3 linked regions of the Mus musculus genome follow. The protein of the gene in region 3 interacts with the protein of the main gene of each other region in a pairwise test. Links are inferred from orthologs where the notes say so. Each region holds a gene or a part of one and is shown on either strand. Other genes may lie near its edges.

What was found.
Region 1: the proteins of Exosc10 (region 3) and Mphosph6 interact in binary tests that used the Homo sapiens proteins (3 or more experiments, as listed by UniProt). The link is inferred for Mus musculus from reciprocal best matches to the Homo sapiens genes EXOSC10 and MPHOSPH6.
Region 2: the proteins of Exosc10 (region 3) and Exosc8 interact in binary tests that used the Homo sapiens proteins (3 or more experiments, as listed by UniProt). The link is inferred for Mus musculus from reciprocal best matches to the Homo sapiens genes EXOSC10 and EXOSC8.

Annotation. Positions count from the first base shown.
Region 1 is NC_000074.6:117,799,085-117,802,830, reverse strand, and holds the start of Mphosph6 (M-phase phosphoprotein 6), read left to right. Parts: upstream 1-856; 5' UTR 857-928; coding exon 929-979; exon of another isoform or gene 980-987; intron 988-3,674; coding exon 3,675-3,746. UniProt on the Homo sapiens protein: RNA-binding protein that associates with the RNA exosome complex. Involved in the 3'-processing of the 7S pre-RNA to the mature 5.8S rRNA and play a role in recruiting the RNA exosome complex to pre-rRNA; this function may include C1D.
Region 2 is NC_000069.6:54,732,499-54,736,244, forward strand, and holds the start of Exosc8 (exosome complex component RRP43), read right to left. Parts: upstream 2,867-3,746; 5' UTR 2,527-2,866; coding exon 2,510-2,526; intron 1,835-2,509; coding exon 1,798-1,834; intron 1,669-1,797; coding exon 1,605-1,668; intron 1,234-1,604; coding exon 1,160-1,233; intron 248-1,159; coding exon 202-247; intron 1-201. Other genes in the region: Alg5 (dolichyl-phosphate beta-glucosyltransferase), read left to right, coding at 3,086-3,151. UniProt on the Homo sapiens protein: Non-catalytic component of the RNA exosome complex which has 3'->5' exoribonuclease activity and participates in a multitude of cellular RNA processing and degradation events.
Region 3 is NC_000070.6:148,571,848-148,575,493, forward strand, and holds part of Exosc10 (exosome component 10), read left to right. Parts: intron 1-1,071; coding exon 1,072-1,122; exon of another isoform or gene 1,123-1,182; intron 1,183-1,263; coding exon 1,264-1,342; intron 1,343-1,430; coding exon 1,431-1,537; intron 1,538-3,646. UniProt on the Homo sapiens protein: Catalytic component of the RNA exosome complex which has 3'->5' exoribonuclease activity and participates in a multitude of cellular RNA processing and degradation events.

The sequences.
Region 1 (3,746 bases), on a different chromosome or scaffold from region 3:
GCTTTATGAATCTCGACTTTACCACTTCTCCAGCGGGTTGCTTATTACATGCCAGTGATGTGTCCTTCCGTATACTTACGAGGTACGGCACCACAACTTGTGGAAGTCCATTCTGCCCTTCCATCACGGGGGTCCCGGGGATCAAACTCATGTCCTCCTCGGGCTTGGCAGCAAGTGTTTTCACCCATTAAACCACCCCTGGCCCCTTCACAAGTTGTCGCCTTGCGTACAGCTCTTGCTAGTTCCTGCCATTCTTCCCATTCCAGAAGGAAATCCTTCAGGCTCCAAGATGCACAGCGAACAGGTGTATGCATATTCATCAGTCTTCCACGGTTTGTGTGCAGCCCTACAGCTATCACGCAGCCTGGGTTTGTGACCACCTCCTTCACTCTGGGACAGAGCATAGCGACACCAGCGGCTCAGGGCTACTGAGAGTTCTAGAAAACACGCTTCATAGAAAGCCACCATTCGTATTTTTAAAACTTTTAAACTCTGGCAGCAACCTCAGCGGCCTCAGCTAGGACCTCAGCAAGGAACTTCCAGACCGGGTCGTTAGGGAGTCCTCGGGTGTCGTGGAGGCCCCGCCTACAGCTCCAGCGTCCTCCCCTTAATCCGCCTTTCCTGAGTTTAGCCCTGGGACCCTGAATCGCAGTCGCCCCGCGGTGGCCCGAGCTCTTACCACAGCTCTTTGCGGAGAGACGCGCTCCGGGAGCTGGAGAAGCCAGAAGCAGCTCCGAGCACTAGGGCGGGGCAGCGCGATGGGTGTGCCTAATCGGGGGCGTGGCAACGGCGCGGGGGCGGAGCTAAAGCTCTGCCACGCCTGTAAGCGACGTGGCCCGGGCGGGTCTAGAGCGTCGTCTTATCTAGCTCCGCTCTTGACCGTGCGCAAGCGCAGTGCGGCGGGAAAGCCTCTGCAAGTGCGTCCAACATGGCGTCGGAGCGCAAGACTAAGTTATCCAAGAACCTGCTGCGCATGAAGGTGCTGAGGTCGGGAATGCTGGGTTGTCGGGCGGGGAGGCTGCTGAGCTCCGAGATGTTCCGTAGTGGGACTCGGGCCGAAGCGATGGGCAGACTGGCTCGGGATGGCCGCGGCCAGCGCACCCCATTCATTCGCTCAGCCTGCGGGCCTTTGGGCACCAGGGGTGAGATTTTGCTTAGCCTGATGTGGGGAGGGAGCCTGCACAACGTTCATCAGAGCCTGCAGAGTTGAGTGCTGTGGTGGCTTTAGTGTCTGGGCCGCCTGGGAAGTTAGACTTCTCGCGAGAAGTGGTCCCTAAGGAGGAACAACGTGAGGGATGGCAGGTAGTGTCCTAAACTGAGGGAAAGTGAGTCCAGAAGCTAAGAAGGAGAAAATCAGGGACGTTGCAAAGAACTAAAGGTAGCTCGGACGTCTGAAAGACAAGGAGCATAAAATGAGGCTGGAAATCTTAGTGGTCACACATCCAAGGAATTGTAAGCCAGGCTGAAGTTTTGTTCCTGTTGCCTCATGAGCAGGAGGAAACTGTTTTCTGAGTTAATTGCTTTTTGTTTGTTTGTTTGTTTGTTGGGGGGGGGGGGGGTCGAGACAGGGTTTCTCTGTGTAGCCCTGGCTGTCCTGGAACTCACTCTGTAGACCAGGCTGGCCTCGAACTCAGAAATTTGCCTGCCTCTGCCTCTCCCAAGTGCTGGGATTAAAGGCGTGCGCCACCACGCCTGGCTAGTTATTGTTTTTTTAAGGCCACTTTAACTGAACTGTGGATGATGGTTAATCAGAAAGGCCCAGCCCAACAACGTGAAAGCTCACAGCCAAAAGGATGAGCTAAAAAAGTTCCTGTGTTCTGGGTGAAGGTTGTCTTCGTGGTGGGAATGGAGAAAATGTTAGTGGGGTGAAATGAGTTCTCCACTAACTTTTAAACAAAATGAGTTTCCCTTTGTGTGTGTGCATGCATAGCTGTATATATACCATGTGTGTTCAGGTGCCTGCGAAGGCCAGAAGAGAGTGTTGGAGCCCCTGAAACTGGAGTTTTAAGTCAGCAGGTATGAGTACCAGGACTTAGGCAAGAGTCAAGGGTGCTCTTAGCCACTGAGCCAACTTCCCCAGCCCATGATTTTTAAATTTGAAGTTGAGCCAGCTGAAGTGGCTTTGATGGCACACATTTGTAATCCCAGCACTTGGGAGGTGGAGGCAGGAGCTTAATTTGTGGCCAGCCTGAGCTGGATATGAGACCCTGTCTCAGACATCATTAAAACAGAAGCAGCTTAACCACAATTTAAAAGGGGTTAAAAGCGGATGAACACAGGAGTTAAGACAGGGAAAAGCTAACTCTTGAAGCTTAAATAATACTAATAGAACGTATTCACGGTCCTCCCAATATTCCGGCATTGTTCTCCGTGTATATACTGAACCACTTAATTCACATAGTAACATTTGAAGGAGTTACAGTTGTCATCTCTGACACCTGAGGTATCTGAGACAGAAGTAACAGCTGAAAAGACTGGTCATCTGGCCCCAGAGCTTCTGCTTGTAATGATTAGCCTGTAGCACCTGTCTCTAACACACGGGGAGCTTGATTACAACGCCTGACTCAACAGTATTATAAACATGTGTTTAACAGAGCTGTCCTACCTACCAAGCGGTATAGTTTAGCTACACAGTACACTATAGAGTTTCAGTAGCTTACCCCAGGATGGTGTAGCTGTCTGGGAGCTGTGGCCCACTGTGCCCCAGCAGCCTAATAGAGTCTCCTCTTACATATGGCTAGCCCAGGAAACAGCATTCCTAGTAGTGTTTCTAATGGGTGGTAGCAGATCCCCACCATCTTAAAGGTGATTTGATTCATTAAGCCTCACCATGTGAAGTTGTGGTCTGTCAGTGCTTATGGTGAAATGAAAACTCTCTTAGAGAACGTGTTTCCAAGAAAAGGAAGGAAGGCATAAACGGGTGCTGTGTCGAGGGCCGGGGAGTGAGCATTCCCCCATGAGCTTTGAGTGCAAGCTGAGCTGGGATGCTATCTGGCCTAGGTATTTGTAAATATATTTGAGTCTCAGAGTTGTTATTTATGGGAGCTTGGGGCCCAGAGGAAAAACCCAAGTTTATAGAAAACATCATACAGCAATGCTTCATTAATCCCAGCACTGAAGAGGCCTGTGAGGCAGGTGGATCTCTTGCGTTCAAGGCCAACCTGGTCTACATCCTGAGTTCCAGGACAGACAGGGCTACACAGTGAAATCCTATCTGGGAAACCTTAAGAAATAAACAAGCAAACAAACAAAAAACCCTAGACAGTTACTGATGGAGCTGGAGAGCTATAGTTTCCCAGAGTCTGCTCTGAACCCTCAGTTTTGAGGGAGGTGAAATTGCTAGTTTTAGAGTGTGTTCTGAGGTCTTCCGAACCCTAGACATGCTTGGTTCACAGCCATGTTCTTATCCTCTGTCCAGTGTAGATGTGGGTGACTGACTGACTGTGTGCCTTCATGTATCCGCTAAGGCGAAATTGAAGATAGGAGGCAGTTAGTCAGGTTTTGCCACCAAGAATGTAAGGGGCCGTGTGAGGCACCTGTACTTTGAACCACAGGGTCACTAATCCAAGGGTCACTGGTACTCAGGGAGTCGTTTGTCTGCCGGGTGCCCTGGTACCTATGGCTGGCCACCCATGAGCCAGGGCACTGACACGGGCTTGCTCCTGTCTTAACAGTTCATGCAAAGAGGCCTGGACTCGGAAACCAAGAAACAGCTAGAAGAGGAGGAGCGGAAGATGATCAGCGAC
Region 2 (3,746 bases), on a different chromosome or scaffold from region 3:
TACAGGGTTGGCAAACTGAAGTTCTTGGGATTTCCCCTCTCCGTTATCTTCTGATAAGCAGAAAGCTTTGTGGGGTTGGAGCTGGGGAGTCGTTATTCTATTTTTGAACATTGGGAATTGCTATCCACCTCAATTACCTCACTGCCAGAGGTATCTCTCAACTTACTTATAATTCATTAAAATTATGAGCATTTAACTCACCGACATATCCTCTATCGGGGGCATCTACTGGTGGTGCTGCAAATTCCTACAAAAGCAAACAATGTATTCCAGTGAGAAAAGCCACGCAACACGATGACATTCTAGTCATCCACAGAGGCCGTGCCAGAGACCATTTCAGCCAATTAACCCATGTTAAGGATGCTGGCACTGCCTTCCTAGTGACTCCCAGGGAGGTTAAAGGGCAGTGTAATCAAACTGTGCTGCTCATCCATGAGGACCAGTGGGATTATGCCCACCCTATGACTTGTTCAGCAGCCAAATCTGAATTTAATCCCCAAGCGACACTGACATGACCAGGCTGGGGAGCCAGTAGTGGCTAGAAGCGAGGTATATAGCAATAAGAGCCCAGTGCAGCTATAGATCCACACAAGAGACTGCAAGAGCTGGGGAAAGTTACTTATCTCTCAAGTTCCTCTGCTGACACAGGGACAGATAAACAGTACCTGCCTACTCCTGAGGGCCCAAGTGAGACAGTGCCACTAAGTCCCAGGTATAATCCTGGCAAGCAGTATGTGGTCTGACAGTTATTACTTCAGCTTGACCACAGACCTAAACGAGGAAAGCTGCTCAGTGAAACGTGAGAAAGCACAGGTTCTGTCAGTAGACTCTGCCTACCTTCTACTTACAGAGATTGGTAACAGTAGAGCATCTAAAAAGCTCAGCAGACAGTTACTATTCCTACGACGAACAAAAGCTATCGATGGCTAAAGGTGTCACTGTAACAGTCGATTTCAAAACCGATATTGCTGAAACCCTAACGTGTGACGTGCTGAGGACTCACCTTGTAAAGCGTTAATGATGCTCACATGTAAAAAACAAAAAAACAAAAACCAACCTTGGGGAATATCATTCCAAATACCAGCCCCTGATCAAGTACAACCTCATAAGCATGCAGTTAACTTGGAATTCAGACATTACAGGCATACAGGAAACCTACTGCTTTAACGCCACAAATGACCGTGGTATTCCCCAGCTTCACGAGAGCAGAGCCATCCGCTGTACTGATTGAACCTGGAAAGGTAAACTTGGTATTCATAAAAAATTTTAAAAAGAAAAAAAAAAAGAAAATAACCACAAAGTTTCCTACAAAGTAGTTTAAATCTTTTTGTTTGCCTCTGAAACTCCCCCCACCCCCACCCACCCACCCCCTGAAACTTTTGACCGGTTCAGGTCAGTGACTTGAAAATGATATTACTACTTAACGTTTTTTCATCTTTTTCTTCGGTCTCCCAATTTGAACTAAAGTTTAGATCAACTACAAGGTTGGTGTGATGATAAAAATCTCTTAACATCACCCGATTGCGTTAGACATAGTAGAGCTGGCTGAAAAACTACGTGACACCAAGGATGTCCCACCCAACTAAAAGGAAGTTTATCTTCACCTATGTTGACAGTTGTGGCTCTGAATTCACCAAGTTCTCTTCCATCAGGACGGCAGTTTTCCTTCTAAATGTTTATAAGGAAACGGGTCATAGATGTATTTCGGGTACGCAGCATTAAGCCTCATTCATTTAAATGAACCGAAGCTTGGTGTTTTTACCCACAGCTCTAACGTACAAAACCACCTTCACTCACCAGAAATCTCCTGTAATACTCCAGCGGCTCCACAGTTCTGAAACAATGTTTAAAACGTGTCTCAGTCAGTGCGTCCTAAAGCAGAAACCCAGAACTTGAGAGTGTGGTGTCTGAGGCGTGATCTCGACAGGCTCAGGCGTTTGAAACTGTGTGGCCCGTATTTATAAAAGCCACACAGCAGCAACCGGTTTCCAGCGGTGACCTTAACTGTGCCATAGTCAGGAGGAACAGAGGCCCTTGGCACACCCAGAAGAGGGTCAACCTGGGTGTCAGTCACATCACTCGTGCTCTGAAGCAGGGACCTTAGCGTGACTTCGCGCCGTTATAAACCACACTCGCCAGCATCCACAACTTTACCACGGAAGAGTGTATTGTACATACGTTTGGCCTCCTCGCCGACCCGCGGCCACAAGTGACTGCAGGTAGGTACGGTGCACGCACCGCAGACGCGAGTTTGCAGGCTGCACGCGTGGGCGGCTCCGGGTTTAACCAGAGCGCGCCCAACGCTTTCCCAGTCCCTTCCGAGGGCGGCCCTGCGTGGAGAGCGGCGTGGCCCTCGGCTAAGAGGTCCGGGCCGTCCTGGATGCAGTGTCCCTCAGCGCCTCGAGTGGGCAGAGCCCTCCCGCGGCCCCGCGAGTCCTCGGGGGGGCCCCCACCCGCCGCCGCGCGCCACACCCGCACCCGGGCCCTCTTTGCGCGCGCCGCCACTCACTTGAACCCAGCCGCCATTTTTCCGGCCCGCTCTGCGCCTGCGCAGCCCTCCGCGCCTGCGCCCTCCGGTCGCCAGGCGTGCCTCCAGCCCAGGGCACTCGGAGGGATCCTGGGTTAGGGAAGTGCAGCTACCGTGTTCCTGCGCCCGAGGCATTAACGCCAGCTCCGGCCACCCCGAGCGTCCCGCTAGTCGCCAATCTCGCGGGGTCCCACGGGCCCGCGCGCTTGTGCACGAACACACTCCCACACACACGCAGGCGCACGAGATGAAAAGGGGGTGACCCTAAAACCCTCCACGGCGCCGGGCATCCTTAGATGGCTGCTCTGCACGGCGCGAGGGGTGAAGCCAGTGCACAGGTCCAGGGCTTTGACTTGCCGCACTCGGTGACCGGCCTGCAGTCCTCGGCGGAGCCGCGCGGGGGCGCTGCGGGGAGGCCTCGGCTTTCCTGCCGTGGCGGGGCACGGCCAGGCGGGGGCGCTGCGGGCGGCGGGCGAGGGCTAGGCCGGCCTCTCCTGCGGGGCCGGCTGGGGCGGGGCGCGGCGCCGCACCGCGCTTCCGCAAGTGTGGAGCTGCGGGATGGCTACGCTGCTACTGCAGCTGCTGGGGCTCGGCGTGGCGCTGGCGGCTGCCGCGCTCATTCTGGTGAGACCGTGGTGGAGTCCGGTGCTCCGGGTGTCCCTTCCGCGCTTCCCTCGCGTGCTTGGCTCCCTTGGCCTCAGATTCCCTGAAATCCTTTGAACCTTTGTTCCCCTTTGGAACCCTATTTGAGTGCCCAGAGCCTCCGCCCAGCTTTTCGGGGCTCCTGCTTCTGAACCCCCGCCTGTCACCCCTCCACGCCACTCCCCAGTCTTCTTCCTGGGGCTCCCATATGCACTGCAGCTGGAAAGAGCGGCCGATCCATAAGGCTAGGGACGATGGGTCAGCAAAAGATAGGCCCAGACGGCGTTCTATTCATTTTGGCCAGGGGTCTTTTTGTTTTGTTTTGGGTTTTTTTGCTTGAGAATCAGGCACCTTAGCGTTTTCTTTGCCATTCCTGTAGAAACGTGGCAGACCCCTTCTGATTATGTAGAAGAGGACATATTTGCCAACTAAACTCTGCCACATAGTTTGAAAAGGAGCCTGTAACTCATTCAGAAAGCAGATTCTGAAAAGCTTGCCTGTATTGAGACAGGTGGCCAGAAAGGCCTCTGCCACCTAGCCAATGTACATGTGCACATGCACAGTCTTGGAGTGGTGT
Region 3 (3,646 bases):
GCCACCATGTGGTTGCTGGGATTTGAACTCAGGACTTCTGGAAGAGCAGTCAGTGCTCTTAACCACTGAGCCATCTCTCCAGCCCCTCCCCCCCCCCCCTTTTCCTTCTTTTTGAGATAGGGTTTTACCATACAGGGTTTCCCTAGGCTAGCCTTGAGTTCAGCTGTGTAATAACCCTGTAGCCCAGGCAGGCCCTGAACTTTCAGTCCAGTCCCACCTCTTCACCCCCAACCCTCAGCTTTCCAAGTAGCTAGAATTACAGCCTTGCACCACCATGTCCACCTTTCTTTGGACTACTTTGAGTGTGTTGACTTGGTGGTGATATATATATATATATATATGTGCATGCAATCAGTTGTTTATTCTCTTTTGAAACATTGTTGACTCACAAAACTCAAAATGAAAGAAGAGGGTATGTTTGTAGCTGTTGTGTTAAGATGTCCATCTGGGGCTAAGGAGATCAGAAGGAGGGTGCTCATCTCCTGTGTGAGGCCATGAGCACCTGCACCAGCACATATACATGCTACATGTACATGTGCCTGTACTCATGCTTGGTCTCACACACAAACACACAAAGCCCCTCTTAGTTTTCCAGTTTGTATAAGTAGAAAGTATGCTGGCTGCCAGAGAAGGCTGCTCCAGGCTGGCTGGAAGCGTTGCATCTTCCCACCTCCTGACAGGAAGGAAGCTCTGGCCTTTGACATGGCAGGCCTTAGGGTGAGGGGTGGAAGGATAGCTGTGGGCTCTTGGGAGACAGATCACAGAGGAGTACAGCTTGCTGCGTGAGCGTGTGGCAGTGGCTGTGCTCACTGTCCTCAGTTTCTTCTTTCCCCCTTTGTTCCTTCTTTGGTTTGTGTTTGTGTATATGTGCGCGTGTTTGTTTGAACCAGAATGGCCTTGAGCTTGCGATCCTCCTGCTTCCGCCTCTGCAGTGCTGGAATTGCAGGCCTGTGCAATCACACCGGGCGGGGGGCGGGGGGGGGGGGCGGTCAGACCCAGGCCCACCAGCATGCTTGCAGACACTCTGCCAGCAGAGCTACATTCCCGGTCCTACTCTTCTTTCCTTCTCAGTCTGAAAATGCAGCTGGAGTGAGGAAGAGCGGACCACTGCCTAGCGCCGAGGTACAGTGTCACGGCTGCTGTGTCACCTATGGGAGGGGTGGAGATCACAGCCCCTGACAGGTCAGTGCTGTCCCACTGGCCAAGAGCTCCTGGCTTGCTTATTAGTTTTACATGTGGTCTGCTGGTTTCTCTTTGATGCAGAGATTGGAGAATGATCTCTTTGGACCCCATGACTGTTCCCACGCCCCTCCAGATAACTACCAGAACACCTCAACTGATGGTAAGATGGAAACCCTCTGGACTCCCAGACAGATGGAGCCAGTTTGCTGGACGAAGCCCACAGGTCTTATTTACCTCTGTGTCTCTAGGGACCCTGCCACTTCAGAAGCAGCCAAGCCTATTCACTGAGGGCAAAGAAGAGACCTCTGTGGATGCCGGATGCCTCCTTGCCACAGCCGTCATCACTCTGTTCAGTGTGAGTAACAAGGAAGTCCCCACGGTGGTTCAGGCTTCCTCATGCCATGTGGTCTTATCACACGGGCTGTCTGCCTGGAGTTTGCATGCACGTTTGAGAACAGTGCCAAAGGTAAAGCTAGAGAGGTGTGGAGCTTTCTACAGGGCAGGGGGGTCTCATGAGCACTGTTGGTGAAGAAACCTTAGAGTATGGGCAGAAGCGGTGGCTCAGAGGCTGAGAACACTGGCTGTTCTTACAGGGGATCTGGATTCAATTCCAGGTACCCACGTGATGGCTTACAGCTGTCTATAGTTCCAGTTCACATGTATATACCCAGACAAAGTACTCATACACATAACATATCTATCTCTTTCTAAGAAAAGAAAAGCTGGACGGTGATGGCGCACGCCTTTAGTCCTAGCACTTGGGAGGAAGAGGCAGGTGGGTCTCTGAGTTCAAGGACAGCCTGGTCTACAGACTGAGTTTTAGGACAGCCAGGGCTACACAGAGAAACCCTGAAGAGAGAGACAAACAGACTGACTGACCAACTGACCTTAGAGGGAAAAGTGCCTGAGGAGAAAGACACTGGGTTGACATGACAGACAAGAGTAGATCCAGCCATGGCAGAGGACCAGATCAGCTGCTTGGCCAGCAAGGCTCTGCAGAGCATTCCTCTGAGTTTGTGGACAACTTCCTGAACTCCTGTCATCATCTGGACACGCTTTTAGGAAAACACGTTGCACACTATAACTCACTAGAAGAAATGTCATCAGCCAGGGTAGGCTCTAGGGAGTAGCAGGTCCCTGCTCCCTGACCCTGGGAGAGGGTATCCATTCTGGAGACCCTGGGTGCCTTGCTCGGACTGAGTTGTGTTCCTAGGACCTGGCTGTGATGTAGCTTGCTTGCTTCTGCCTGTATTGGCACCTCTAGGTTCCCTGCAAAGGGAAGGCCTAAAGGCCTGGAGATATGGCTCTGTGGATAAAGTACTTGCCATGCAAATGTGAGGGCTACAGCTTGGATTCCAGAAAACACTAAAAAGCCTGACATTATAACACATCTCTGTGATCCCATTGTACCTATGGTAAGATGGGAGAGGTCTCCTGGTCCAACTAGCCTGGCTTACATGGTGATGAGCATACATCAAAGGTTGTCCTTTGACCTCTATGTACACACACATGCACACATACACATTTTTAAAAGTCCTGATTGAGGCAAGCATGGTAGTGCATGCCCACCACTCGAGAGGTGGGGACAGGCAGGTCTCTTGAGTTTGAGGCCAGTGAGTTACACTCTACACAGTAACAGAACAAACAGGGTTACACAGACAAAGCCTGTCACAGTAAAAGTATATTCGACAGGGTTTAGGGTGGTGGTTGGTCTTGGCTGGCAGAGCTGTCATGGGCACGCAGCAGCTTGGTCTGCTCCGTAGAACTTCCTTTTTCTTCTTAGTCAGGACCTCATCCTGCTGCCCAGTCTAACCTCAGACTTCTGTCTCTCAGGTGCTGCTCTTGCAGGACTTTGTTAATTCCCAGGACCCTGGTGGCAGCTCACAGTGATGTATGGCTCCAGTTCCAGGGGGTCTAGCACCTCTTGACCTCCATAGGCAGGCACCGGCTACACATGTGCGCATACATACAAACAAACAAACAGAACACTCATGCACATAAAATTTCTTTTAAAAATCAACCAGCAGTGGTGATGCCCGCCTTTAATCCCAGCACTTGGGAAGCAGAGACAAGTGGATCTCTTAAGTTTGAGGCCAGCCTGGTCTACAGAGTGAATTCTAGGACAGCTAAAGCTACACAGAGATACACTACTCTGGAAAAAAACCAAAACAAACAAATGGTTTGGATTTCTCCTGCCTTGTCTTTCCAGTGCATGGATTATAAATAAGGGTGTGCCCCATTCCACGCTAGTCTTCCTGAACTTGAGGCTGCACTGACGTCTGACTTCTAAGTTTAGTCTGAAGAAGGCTGTACTGTCTCTGCTGTGTTAGAAGCAAACATAACTTCAAGGGACAGGTCGATGTTATGAATCCAGTTGGAAGCAATGTTTGATGGCATGTTTTTACTGGTTCCTTGTCAAGATCTATAATATTACAGTTCACATTTATCAGTTATGGCCTCAGGG